Danio rerio: one gene and its partner. The protein of the gene in region 1 purifies or fractionates together with the protein of each later gene. This does not show direct contact. Links are inferred from orthologs where the notes say so. Each region holds a gene or a part of one and is shown in the gene's direction. Other genes may lie near its edges.

Evidence for each region. Proteins that work in one complex are often made in the same cells at the same time.
Region 2: the proteins of dicer1 (region 1) and prkra purify together in Homo sapiens (co-immunoprecipitation; 4 studies listed by BioGRID and IntAct, with this or other methods). This does not show direct contact. The link is inferred for Danio rerio from reciprocal best matches to the Homo sapiens genes DICER1 and PRKRA.

The regions. Positions count from the first base shown.
Region 1 is NC_133192.1:20,721,061-20,728,260, reverse strand, and holds part of dicer1 (endoribonuclease Dicer), read left to right. Parts: intron 1-2,119; coding exon 2,120-2,333; intron 2,334-3,921; coding exon 3,922-4,075; intron 4,076-4,195; coding exon 4,196-4,378; intron 4,379-4,478; coding exon 4,479-4,584; intron 4,585-4,760; coding exon 4,761-4,936; intron 4,937-7,200. UniProt on the Homo sapiens protein: Double-stranded RNA (dsRNA) endoribonuclease playing a central role in short dsRNA-mediated post-transcriptional gene silencing.
Region 2 is NC_133184.1:1,353,002-1,359,413, forward strand, and holds the start of prkra (interferon-inducible double-stranded RNA-dependent protein kinase activator A homolog), read left to right. Parts: upstream 1-3,375; 5' UTR 3,376-3,411; coding exon 3,412-3,425; exon of another isoform or gene 3,426-3,499; intron 3,500-3,827; coding exon 3,828-3,997; intron 3,998-4,104; coding exon 4,105-4,186; intron 4,187-4,298; coding exon 4,299-4,368; intron 4,369-5,092; coding exon 5,093-5,210; intron 5,211-6,022; coding exon 6,023-6,117; intron 6,118-6,412. UniProt on the Homo sapiens protein: Activates EIF2AK2/PKR in the absence of double-stranded RNA (dsRNA), leading to phosphorylation of EIF2S1/EFI2-alpha and inhibition of translation and induction of apoptosis.

The DNA.
Region 1 (7,200 bases):
CAAAGGCTTCCCCGATGGCAGTACTTCATACATTGGAATTAAAACATGATTTGGATCATTTGCTGTTATTTGTATGTTCCTAAAAACCAACAACTCCAGGGTTTTTTTCTACCTGCTTGATCAGACCAGTGGTTCAGATTTTCACTGGCCCTGCCAAAAAAAGTACTAAATAGCTATTTCTTAGCCACATACTTTAAATAATGTATCAAAAGCCAAGTATAATTGTATACATACACTTTTTATTCATTCATTTATTCTATTGAATTAATCTATTTTAAAAAATGTTGGCTGGAATTATGCATTATAGGCTTAAATTATAGAGAGAAATAACAGATGAACCGGTGTTGTGTTAAGAAACGCACCCTGCTGTAAATTGTACCCCCTCTGAAATTAGCATATATTACCCTAAATTGATTTAAACTAGTAATAGAGTTATGACATCTAATGACAGTGACTGAAGTAAGGTCCATGAATTGAATCCTTACCTTACAGAAGATATATATTTAAATCAATAAATAGATTAAATTTAAAATACTGTTTTAATCAATTATGGCCTTCATTTTTTATTTTTTTTATGTAGACTGATTATACTAATAAAAGTCTATAAAGGAGGTGCGTGCATTTTACCACAGGGTTGCATTTCTCTCCACAACACCAGAACTGCAGTCAGATCATGAAGCAGATCAATGTTAATTTTTCTTTCGAGACGTCAGTGCAGAAATGAACAAAACAATAGGCCTAATACAAAATATTATAAGATTAAAATATGGATTATAAGAAGGTAATTTCGCACATTTTCCTAACTGATAAACAGCACTCGATAATATTTAAGCATGCTTTCACTGTCGTATTCCACATAAAACGCACATTTATCATTCCACCGTACTCATAATTCTCTCTTCATATGGCTGTTACTCAACAATAATACACTGTGATATAGCCTGGTTTGTCAGTTTGTTGGATCATTTTGTTTTCCCACTACAATCGATCCGCTCCAGTTCGTTTTAACTTACTGGGCAAAACAAACGTCTGGGCGTGAAAGCACCCTGTATTTGCATGCAATTGACAAACAGTCGCAACCAAATTAAACTTTAGTGACACGGCAGCACTAAACCATACTGCTAACTGTCTCGAGTGTCTCGCACACTGGCCCCAGGCCATCGGGCAGTCCTTAATTTCGAGCTCTGAACTCACTGACTGCAGTGATGTATACTAGGCATATACCATCAAAGTCTTTAGCCCCTTTCACACATTCAGACTTTTCCGGAAAATTACCGGCTTTTTGAAAATACCGGTAAATTCGTTCTGGCTATTTTCCGGAAAGAGAAGTTGTAACATTACCGGTAATTTGCCGGAATGCTGCGCTGTGTGAATGCAGAAGGAAGATTGCCGGAAAGAGCGCGTGCATGTCTAGAACATGCTGACGTGAGACACCTGCTTTAGCCAATCAGAACAGTCAGACGCATTCACGTGCGCGATTTATGAGAATAAGAGCCTTTGAATATTTTTCCAGACACCTTTAGCTCCTAGATGTTAGTCAGATAACGTTTCTATGTTCCTTCTTAATGCTAACTGTGTAAATAATTATCGATAAAATGTTTATAGTAATTCGTTGTTTGTTTACCTTCAAGCTTTGCGTGTGCCTGTGAGCCCCCATAGCGCCAGCACACACACATATCATGAACATCTCGACATGCGAAAGTGTTCCTCTATATGTTTTCATTGGAGTTGTACTCAATACTGATCCATCCAAAGAGTTTTAATGTAGTCAAATGTTTACAAACACAAGCGCAGCCGTTTAGAGGTCATTTCTGGTTAATGATGTCAGAATTTACCGGTATTTTGGAATGGATGTGTGAATGCTCTTTTCCTCGCCTGTGTGAACAGCGCTTTTTTGAATTTACCGGTAAAGTCGTTCCGGAAATTTTCCGGATATTTACCGGTATCACTGTGTGAAAGGGGTTATTGGCTGACAGTTTCCAACTTTCTTCTGAATATCAGCTTTTGTGTTCAACAAGAAAATTAATTCCAATATGATGACAGCATTTTCATTCTTGGGAGATCAATCCTTATTAGTTTTGAAGATGATAAATATCATGATCTTTTTTCCCTCCCTCAGATCCCTCATTTCCCTGTGTACACTCGTTCTGGTGAGGTGACCATCTCCATTGAGCTGCAGAAGTCGGGCTTTAGTCTAAGTGCGGAGCAGCTGGAGCTGATCACACGTCTGCATCAGTACATCTTCTCCCACATCCTCCGTCTGGAAAAGCCAGCACTAGAGTTTAAGCCTGTAGAGGCAGATTCTGCCTACTGTGTTCTACCTCTCAACATCGGTGAGTGTCGCAGTCTTGTCTGAGATTAAAGTTAATCATTAGTTTATTATATTTTTAGTTTTTTTAGGATTATTTAGACCTGCAACAAATCTGTCAAATATTTGTTTTATTATTTGGACAAAAAGCCAGTGTTTTTGTTCTGTCATTTATTGAGCAAGCATGTGCGTTCCAGATCTTATCCATTTTTCCATTTAAAATGTCAGATGCTCTTCATTTAGCAATAGAGACTAATTAATATTACAAAACATCTGTTTATTTTTATTTGTTTCATTATTTATTGCAGCTAGTGATGGCAATATTGGGACTTTTATTTTGAGAGCTGATTATTTTTAGCTATTGTATTCAAATAAACTATATTTTAATACTTATAATCAGGGTATCCACGGGGTCGTAAAGTTTTAAAATGTCTTAAATCTCAAAAGCAAAATTTTAGGCCTTAAAGTCTTAAATTCACTGAAATATTGTGTTGTAGGTCTTCAATCTTTTTTTTTTAACAGGTCTTAATTTTCCTTTGTTCAATGTTCAAGAGTCCATCCAATAAAATATCTTTACAGTAACATTTGTTTAATAATCCTCTATTTATTTACTGCTGAGGATACTGACCTGACCTATATTTTTGTATTATTAAGTTATTAATATTATTGACTGAAGTAGTTGACAGATTTGTTTTGTTCTTTTCTTGGTAAGGGTTATCGAGTTTGTGAATGGATATATTTGAAAATTGTTGTAAAAAAATTTCAAACTAAATTATAGAAAATCTTCTCTAACTGGGATATTGAAAAAAACCCTTAGCATTTAGCCCTGTATAAGTCTAATTAGTCATAATTTTTGTTGTTATTTTTTTTTTATTAACAGATTTGTTAATATTATTTGTTATTAACAGATCATTTTGTCTGACTTTAAAGTGGCACACAAGGGTTAAAATATTTTTTAAATAATATAGTTTTAGCCCTCCTTTTAATTTTTTTCATTTTCAAATATTTGCCAAATGATGGAAATTAGCCATAGCAAGGACATTGTCACAGTATGTCTGATAATATTTTTTTTCTTCTGGAGAAAGTCTTATTTGTTTTATTTCAGCTAGAATAAAAGCAGTTTTTAATTTTTCTAATACCATTTTAAGGTCAAAATTGTTGTCCCCTTTAAGCAAATTTTATTTGATAGTCCACAGAACAAACTATCGTTATACAATAGCTTACCTAATTACCCTTAACTGCCTAGTTAACCTAATTAACCTAGTTAAGCCTTTAAATGTCATTTAAGCTGTATAGAAGTGTCTTGAAAAATATATAGTAAAATATTATGTTCTGTCATCATGGCAAAGATAAAATAAATTAATTATTAGAGATGAGTTATTAAAACTATTATGTTTATAATGTGTTGAAAAAAATCTTCTCTCCTTTAAATAGAAATTGGGGAAAAAAAATAAACGGGGTGGCAAATAATTCAGGGGGGCTAATAATTCTGATTTCAACTGTATATCAGCCATCGGCTACCCCTACTTCGCAATACACTGGCTGTATAAGCTGTATTCAAGCATTTGTTTCAGTGATATTCCAATTTTTTTTATAACTGGTGTTCTTTTCAGTTGAGGATTCCAATACTTTGGATCTGGATTTCAAGTTCATGGAGGATATTGAAAAGTCTGAAGCACGCATTGGCATTCCAAACACTCAGTACACCAAGCAAAACCCATTCATCTTCAAATTGGAGGACTACCAGGATGCTGTCATCATTCCAAGGTACAAAACATACTCGAGTCTTATTGCTGTTGTAATTAAGCAGTCATTGATGATTTATACTGTGCTTTTGTTTTCGCTCAAGTTGAACCATGGCCTCCTTTCTCATTTTCCTCCTCTCAGGTATCGTAATTTTGACCAGCCGCATCGGTTCTACGTGGCTGACGTTTACACAGACCTCACCCCGCTCAGTAAATTCCCCTCTCCAGAGTACGAGACTTTTGCCGAATACTATAAAACCAAGTACAACCTGGACCTGTCAAATGTTAATCAGCCCCTACTGGATGTGGACCACACATCTTCAAGGTAGGAAGGAAAAATTAAAAAATACTTCATGGTATGTGTTTTTCTTTTTTTATAAACCCCCAAAAATTCATTACATGTCCATGGTGGTCTTTTCCTGTAGATTGAATCTTTTAACTCCCCGGCACCTTAATCAAAAGGGGAAAGCCCTTCCTCTCAGCAGTGCGGAGAAGAGAAAGGCCAAGTGGGAAAGCCTACAAAACAAACAGGTATTAACTGTCGGAAAGAATTTGCGGTGATAATTATGAGCCATCATACCTGAATTAAGTGTAATCACGCTGAATAAATGAGTGCTTCCTCCCAGTGAGAGTGGTAATGGTCGAACAAAGGTTTGATTCATATCAGATAACTTTTTTTGGTTTGTATTTTTGGTCTATCTTCTTAGATTTTAGTTCCGGAGCTCTGTGCCATTCACCCCATCCCAGCCTCTTTGTGGAGGAAAGCCGTCTGCCTTCCCAGCATTCTCTACAGACTTCACTGCCTTCTGACGGCCGAAGAGCTGCGGTCTCAGACAGCCATCGATGCTGGCGTAGGGGCTCAGACCTTGCCTCCTGATTTCAGGTCAATTAAAAAAAACATTACACTTATTCCTGCTTCCAAACCCTAGTATACTTGTGGCCTGTTTCCACTGAGTGGTACAGTACGGTACAGTATGGGTCACCTTCATCAGGCTTGCATTCCCACTGCCTAAAGGGTATTTAAAAATGGCGCTTTTTTTGTGTTTATTATCCTGCTTGTATATGCACTAGTGACATTTCTCTGTAAACCAATAGCATTCAGCTCCGCCTTTTGGTACCCTTTTGTTGTGCTAGGTACCCTTTTAAAAGGGTACCCAAAAAGTGGTACGGTACGGTTCACTTTATGGTACTTTTTGACAGTGGAATTTAGTTTGATTGAGTAACTATTATAGTTTTTATAAAGTGTTGTTTATATTATGAAATGGGAGATTTTAATGATTTTGCTGGAGAAGAGCAACGGTTGTGCTTTGTAAATATTTTCATTCGCAAAACAGAACAAATGATAAATGAAAAGATGATCACTTTCAGTGTTGCAGCTAACATGTAATTTTATATAGTTCTTTTTGTTTATTGATAAAATCTCTTTTAATGTTTGTGCCGACACTAGGCATGGGCGGTTGTAAGACTTTGACAGTATGATAACCTTGGATAAAAATATCACCGTGTGATTACTGCTCCAAATTAGGTTCCTTTTAAATGTCTGGGTAAAAAGCAACATTTAAAATATTTTGGATCAGTAGCTTAGTAGAGTTTTTTTTTTTGCTGGAGACACTGTTTTCCTTAGGAACGATATAACAGAATAATTGTTCAATTTAACAACATAAAAACGGTGGACCAATTAGAGCGGTTTTGAGACCAACTGCAACTTGACATAGGAGTGCAGTCCCCCCGCCCACCTAATTGATTGACAGTTGCGTATAAACTTGTCTTCGTAGTGCAGTATAATTAAATCAACTAGACAGGATGTGCGTAAAGCAACCGGGAATAAAAGGTCTGTCCAGTTTGCTTGGATCATCAATCATCATCAAATGTGATCAAGAGTGAGTTTTACAAGTTTAAAATGTTTTCAAACAGTGCATGTGTGTAATGAATTACAGCGATTCACTTCAGATTCACTTCATCAGCACACCCACGTATCTGAACAATTATAAAAGAAGAGGCTTCAATCGTGGTTTGTGGACGTTAAATCAGGTTTATTTTGTACATTAACATAACAGATGTCCATACAGCAGTGGAGATTAAACTGCGTCCTGTCAAATTTGTGTGCAAAAACAGTGCAAAGCTAAATGCGCGCGCTGTGTGTGTGTGTGTGTGTGTGTGTGTGTGCGTGTGTGAACTTTGTAACGACATTGTGTGTGTCTCATCGTTGCAACTCAACAACAGATGCATCGAATACTCGTTGATAAAGTTCTGACTTATTTCTCACAAATGTTACGTGAGATCTTCTTCATCTCTCTTGTCTGTTGTCTGAGGCAGCCAAGGGCGGAGACTGAGGCACGCTGACAGGCATGTGGCAATGGTAGGCGGAAAGACTAGCCTTAAAGGCCCATTACATAAAAACAGCAGCAAGCTGTTTAGAGCTATAAAAATACAAACTACTGAAAGCTATTATAAATAATCTGATGTGGGTTTGGAGCTGAAACTTCACAGATTCTTTTTTAATTCCGGAAAAAGGGGTAACCTAGGTGCCCTTTAAATACATTTTCATTTAGTCATTTAGCAGATGCTTTTGTTCAAATCGACCTTTCAATTCAGCGATTCAACAAAAAGAGGCAATACACACAAGAAGTGCTAATTATACAAAGCAAGAAGTTTGTGCTCAGAAAATTTAGGCAGGGTTTTGTTTTTTGTTTTTTCACACTTATAAATGCACAATGTTTTTTTGTGCAATGTTGTTTTTTTGTTGTTGTTGTTATGGAATGATTGTAAAAATGTGTCTGGTGCAAATGAGCAAAAACTGGTTCAAATGTTGGTTAAAGTGTCAGAGAGATGGTAGTAGGGATTCTCCGATGATATCTCGCCTTACCTAAAATAATCAAATTGGGATGTAGCATTCATGTAATGGACAGAAGCAGCTTTACGGAAAAAATTAAATAAATAAAACAGACAAAAATGGTAAGAAAATGAATAACAGTGCAATTTGGAAACATTGCTCATGTGTTGTTGCGCTGCCAATGCATAACCCGGGCGTGCACGTGCATCTTTCTCTGCTTGTAAACTCACAAACAAACACTTGCGATCGGTTCATGGGATCGGCCAGATTAACAAGTATCGATCGAGTCATGAAATGTACTGATCTCCAGCCGA
Region 2 (6,412 bases), on another chromosome or scaffold:
CTAGCTGGTGTATTTGCATACAGCGATCTGATTGGCTGACGCTTCCATCGGCGCTTGAAAAGCTGAGCTAGTTCCAACTTCTGCAGCGAGCAACGCCTCTGAAGCGGCGCCGACGGATCCACAATGCAGTTCAGCAACGCCTGACGTCACCCATTCAAAGTGAATGGGAAGCATTGACACTGACGCCCCGTGTGAATGGGGCGTCACAGTACACTGTAAAAAATGTCCCTGATTTCACTTTAAAACTGTAGAAACCCTACAGCACAGTACGTGTCCTTAATATATACTGTAAATAACTGTACATTGACTTTCGCAGAATTCTCTGCGAATTCTGTGCTTATTTTTAAGGTTTTCTTTCTTTGTTATATTACATATATTGTTAATAAATCAAGTTTATTGCATTACTTTAGTGTTATGTGTTGTTATGATGCTGTTTGGCAATTGTGTGATTGGCAATGAGCGTCTTCTATATTAGCATGCTTGTGGGAAACCTGTTAAATAAAAGCTTATCATATGACTTTCTCATCACCATATGGTTGTGTTTTTGTGTGTGTAATAAAGGATACGATGTGTGCTTTAAAACACTGGTCTATTAACACTTAATGATTAAAATACAATAGTTTACTGTAAAATATTTGACTTTCTTTGCGTTTTTAACTGTAACACACTGGAAACTACTCAATTTTTTTTAATAGTACAATTGTTGAATTTCACCCAATATTTTGGCAGTATAGTGTATGTTGGCCACATTATTTTTTACTCATGAGTTAAAAAAATGCACATATATAAAGACTGAGGAAATGTTTTTAATAATAAGAGGTGAATTAGCCGCGTGGTACTGGTATCGTTCGTTGTAACGATTGTTGTAATGGTTCTAATATCTAATGGCCATCCGCTTGTTTAGTCTGACGTCACGCGAAGCGGCTTCCGGGTCTAAGCGCTCTATTCAACTGACTCATAAAATAGTAATAATAAACGTTCACAAAGCGATTTAATACTTTCGAAGATCACGATCGCAACATATATGCCCATGCCTAATATGCGATGGCCAGAAAGTGATTCATTTTTTTTTATAAAATGTTAAATTTTTGGTATTTGTTATGCAGCAAGCCCAGAGATTGTTGTATACACTATGATTTTATATAAAATTAACTTTAATGTGTGATAGGAATAAAACGTGATCATAAACGAATGATTTCTTCACGCAAATGAATGGCGGCTTGGACTAGGAAACAGTATTACATGCGTCACAAACACGTCACCACTTAACAAGCGGATAAGGAGATCACATACGGAGGGGGGCGGGGCCCTCTTATCACATCCCGTTCGCTAGTAGTCACTGAGGCTGCGTCCGAAACCGCATACTTTCATACTATATAGTATGCTAAAATCAGTATGCGAGCCGAGTAGTATGTCCGAATTCATACAATTTGAAAATCAGTATGCGAGAAATACCCGGATGACTTACTACTTCTGGCGAGATTTTGTAGTGCACATCCTATGCACGCTGCGCTGTCCCATGATGCCCCGCGAGAGAATATATGAATGCAAGTGAAACGACGCAACTGACACAGGTAGGTCACGTGACCATGATAAAATGGCGGATGTAGTACATCCGAATTCCATTCATACTTTTCACATTCATACTGTATAGAACCCACTTTTCTAACGGCCGAGTAGTACATTTACAAATACATATTCGTTTAAATTCGGACGCAGCCTGAAAGTTTTGCACTTGAGCGCCTCCAAGTGCTGTTTACGGTAACTTCAGAAGCTCTGTGCACGTGAACAAAAGTGCCAATCTGATTGGTGGAGAAGGTTATGGCGCGGTGCGTCAAAACAAAAAAATTAGCATGAGGCGTTTCTTAAAAAATAAAGCTTTTACGTCTGCCGTTGGTGTGCACAACCACAATAGCACCGTTTATTTAGTCACGAGGTGGTAAACGTTGACGGAAAACGTGAGCGAAAAGCGTACCGCTGTGCACGGGCCTTAAAAGGGATTTTTGCATAATAGGTGCCCTTTAAAGTATCAAACATTACATATCTGCAAATGAAAAATGACTCTAAATATATATTTTAAGGCTGTAAAATAATGTATTTTTTAATTTTATTTATTTTTTTATGTTGTAACCCATTTTTTTTATCATTAAATGAATAAAATGCACACAACTGGAGGCTCGGAGTTTGACTTTACTTATAAATGTAAGTATTTCCTCATAGCTAGAAGATCGCTGGTTCTAGCCCCGGCTGGGTCAGTTGGTGTTTCTGTGTGGAGTTTGCATGTTCTCCCGGTGTTGGCGTGGGTTTCCTCTGGGTGCTTCGGTTTCCCTCACAGTCCAAACACATGCGCTATAGGGGAATTGAATAAGCTAAACTGGCTGTAGTGTATGAGTGTGTGCAAGAGTGTGTGGGTGTTTCCCAGTGTTGGGTTGCAGCTGGAAGGGCATCTGCTGCATAAAATATATGCTGGATAAATTGGTGGTTCATTCCGCTGTGGCGGCCCCTGATTCATGAAGGGACTAACCTGAATGAAAAATAATTGAATGAACGTTATGGACAAACAAGAATAAATATAAATGTTCGTGTTTTGTGGGTGTCAGTAGAGCACAAAAAGTGCGACCTTCACCTCGTCATGATGATGACTCAGAAGTGAATTAAAAAGGGAAGCATTTATGACCCCTACACACCCTTCAAAGTTGTCCCTAGGGCACAGGGATGAGCCTTTTCGAATGGAACGCAGTGAGGCAGGCTGTGCCGCAAAATATCGCACCTGTCGTAAAATCATCTGCGATCTCATATAAAACATTAATAATCTCAAAATGCAGTTCACTTACGTGATACAAAGCGTGTTAAATATTAACACAAAGCTTTCTAAATCAGTTTCGCACACTTAGGCATCTCAGAAATTGATTGACATTGCAAAAGAAGCACATTACAGTCTTCCTCCACAATTGAGAAAGGCTAAAACCATGCCGGCTTCCATTGAAGGGAGGGGCTATAGCGCGATAGAAGAGATACAGCAGCGGCCGGACGTTATTTATAATACTTATTAAATTACCAATTAATTATATATTTTTAACCTCTACTCCTACCCCAACTATAATCCCAAGCACCACATTAATGTAAAAACAGTAATTAAACCGATTATTATTCATCCTATTTAATAAATTACCCGTCAAATTGTACTTTACTAACACTTTCTTCAACACCAACCCTCATAATAGTGTAAAAATATGAACTATTATTGTAAAGTGTTACAAAAATCATGCTATATTGATGTAAGTTTCCGCGGCTGTATCCCATCTAGACTTTACCGCTGTTGTGGAGGGCGGGGCTTACAGCCAGTATAGAGCAATACAATTGGCCAATGCGATTGTCAATCTATTAAAAAGCGGCAGACGGGCAGAAGTAATGGCTGATTCAAAGTAAGAGCTCGTAAAATTGATAATACAGGCTTTTCCTTTTGTATATATACGAGACAATTATTATATCGCAACATGTAAGTGTCTGTTTAACGCGTGTGTAACTGTTCGTGCTCACATCAATCTCGGATTTACTTTGACTAGTGCACAGAGGCAGGCTGCATTGTATTGTGTGCTATACTATAATGGAGTGTCGTTTTGCATGCTAACGTTACATATTATAATAAATGTGTCGTTCTGTTTGTTATAAAGTATAACACAGTGTCGTTACACACTGTTTAGTATGCTATAATATGATGGAGTGTCATATTCTTAGTATCTGCGTTGTGTATGTGATGTTTTAAGCTGCTCGTGTGCTAGCTTAGCTCTTTTCACTCGGTTGTACGCTCTTTATTGTCGCCTCAGTGTCACAATGGCTCCCCAACGCAGTCAGGACAAAACACCGATCCAGCTCCTGCACGAATATGGCATTAAAATCAGCAGCGCGCCGAAATACGAGCTCATTCACGCGGACGGGGACGCGCATCAGCCTTCCTTCATGTTCAGCGTCACCATAGGAGAGGTCACATGCAAAGGTGACGTCATCTACACATCTCTTATTTATTAGAAATACTACTAAACGCATGTACTAATTACACAATGCACGACAGTCTTCTAATGCGCCGTTGTTTTGCTTGTGAAGGCCGAGGATCCACAAAAAAGGCCGCGAAGCATGAAGCTGCAGAAGCCGCCTTGAAGTTGCTGAAGCGAGACAGTCAGATAATGTAATGCACAGCACACACACACCCATACATGCATACAGCAGATGGGCTTATAAACTATTATAGATTGATTAAATGGGTTAAAACTAATCCAGATGTTCTGAATTTTTAATAGAGACCAGAGAGACAACAATGGTCTATCTCCTGAAGCCGGAGAAGCGTCCAATCCTGTGGGAATACTGCAGGTATCTAAGAACTACACACACACACACACACATGTAAATAATACTGGGTTTTACACAATGGATTTGTGTTTGAATAACATGAAGGAAATAAATTAACTTATTATTTAAAGTTAGTTATTAGTGGGCCCACAAGGAATCTGACCTTGGATAAAAATATTATGGTTTTACGGTATCACAGTGTTGTAATTACTCCTCTAAAATAAGTTATTTTTAAATGTCTGTGTAAAAAAACAAAAACTTGTTTCCTCTTTGAACACAGAATATTTTATTTTGTGAAAGATTTAAAATATTTTGGAGCAGTAAACATGTCAGGTTAAATAATTCAAAAGAGTCATAGACTTCTGGGGTCTGTTCTTCGTACGTGGATTACTCAGCTGGATTTGGATATTGATGATTTGACACGATCCAGGATCGTTTCGTTCTTCAAAGCTCATTCGAGAGTTGTTGTCATAGCAACAGTTCTGCTAGCTCAAACCTGATCAGGAGCAGGTTCAATTCATATAAACAGGATTAGATCGGCTCAGTTCAAGCAAAGAAAACACTGAAAGTATGTTCCGAATTCAGATATTTTCTTACAGTAGTGTGTGTGCGCGAGGTATTTTATCTGGACTTTTTTTTCTTTTCTTGTTTATTTTGGTGTTTTTTTTTTCAACAGAATCACCATGCTAATTCGCAACCCTTGCATTCAGTATGTGTTTGTCATCTAATCTGCTCACTCTTTCAGGAGCTGGCCATGCAGAGAGTGTGGTGTCTGCCCGAGTATGTTGTGTTTATGGAGACTGGGCCGGGACACATGAAGGAGTTCACCATCGCCTGCCGTCTGGAGGGACTGGAGGAAACAGGTGACGTCTGGGGCTGTACATACAATACAGTGGGGGAAATATGTATTGAACAAATCACTGTTTTTCTCAGAAAACACATTTCTAAATGTGCTGTTGACTTGAAATGTTCCCCAGATGTTGGTAGCAACCAAAGAAATCCATATATGCAAAGAAAACAAAACTGATTCGTTTAGAATTGAAGTTCTGTGTAATAAAATAAAATGACGCAGGGGAGGAGTATTGAACACATGAAAAAAGGGAGGTGTAGTTCGGCAGTGAAAGCCCAGACAGCAGCTGAAATCTCTCAGTGGTTCTTCAGCAAGCCTCTGCCCTTCCTCAATGTAAATGAACATCAGCTGCTTCAGTCCAACATCTGCATCAGCAGGAGGATGAAGATGAACCCAGGGTGGACATTTCAGCAAGATAATGATCCCAAAACACAGCCAAGGAGACTCTCAGATGCTTTCAGAGAAAGAGAATCAAGCTGCAGAATGGCCCAACCAATCCCCTGATCTGAATCCAATAGAGAATACAAAATAAAGCTCAGATTTTGCAGACGAGACCCACAGAACCATCAAGATTTTGATACTTTACAAAAGATCTCAGTTATTAGTAATGAGATATAAAATCTATTATGTTTAGAAATGTGTTGTGGGGGGTTGGGTCTGAGGTAAACAGAAATTGGGGAATAAAATAAACAGGGGGCTAATAGTTCAGGAGGGCTAATAATTCTGACTTCAACTGTATATTGCCAACTGCTGTTATTCATGTGCAGATATCGTGCTGATTTCTCCACTGATGCTTTATTATCTGCTTTTTTTTTGGCTCATCAGGATCCGGCAGCTCCAAAAAGCTGGCCAGACGAGCAGCTGCTGAAAACATGATCGCCAAACTGCAGAGTTTGTCAGGATCTTCTGAGATCACGTGGGTTAGTAATTCATCAGCAGTTATTTTATTTATGAAGACTTCTGGATTGATTTATGAAAGCATGTTGGATTAAAGTGGTGTTTGGGACCCCTGGAGGAGGGGGTTGCTTGGTGATTAATCCCAAAATTTTGTAAACAATTAGAAATTACCATATTTTATCCATAACAAACAAAAGATTCAAATTAGTCGCTAAAAGTTCTGTTTTTAAAATGCAAATAAAAACCTTTTGATGTTTTGTTAATAATTTAAATATTTCACTATTGTCATTGTTAGATTATAGAGTTGCAGCTAATTGA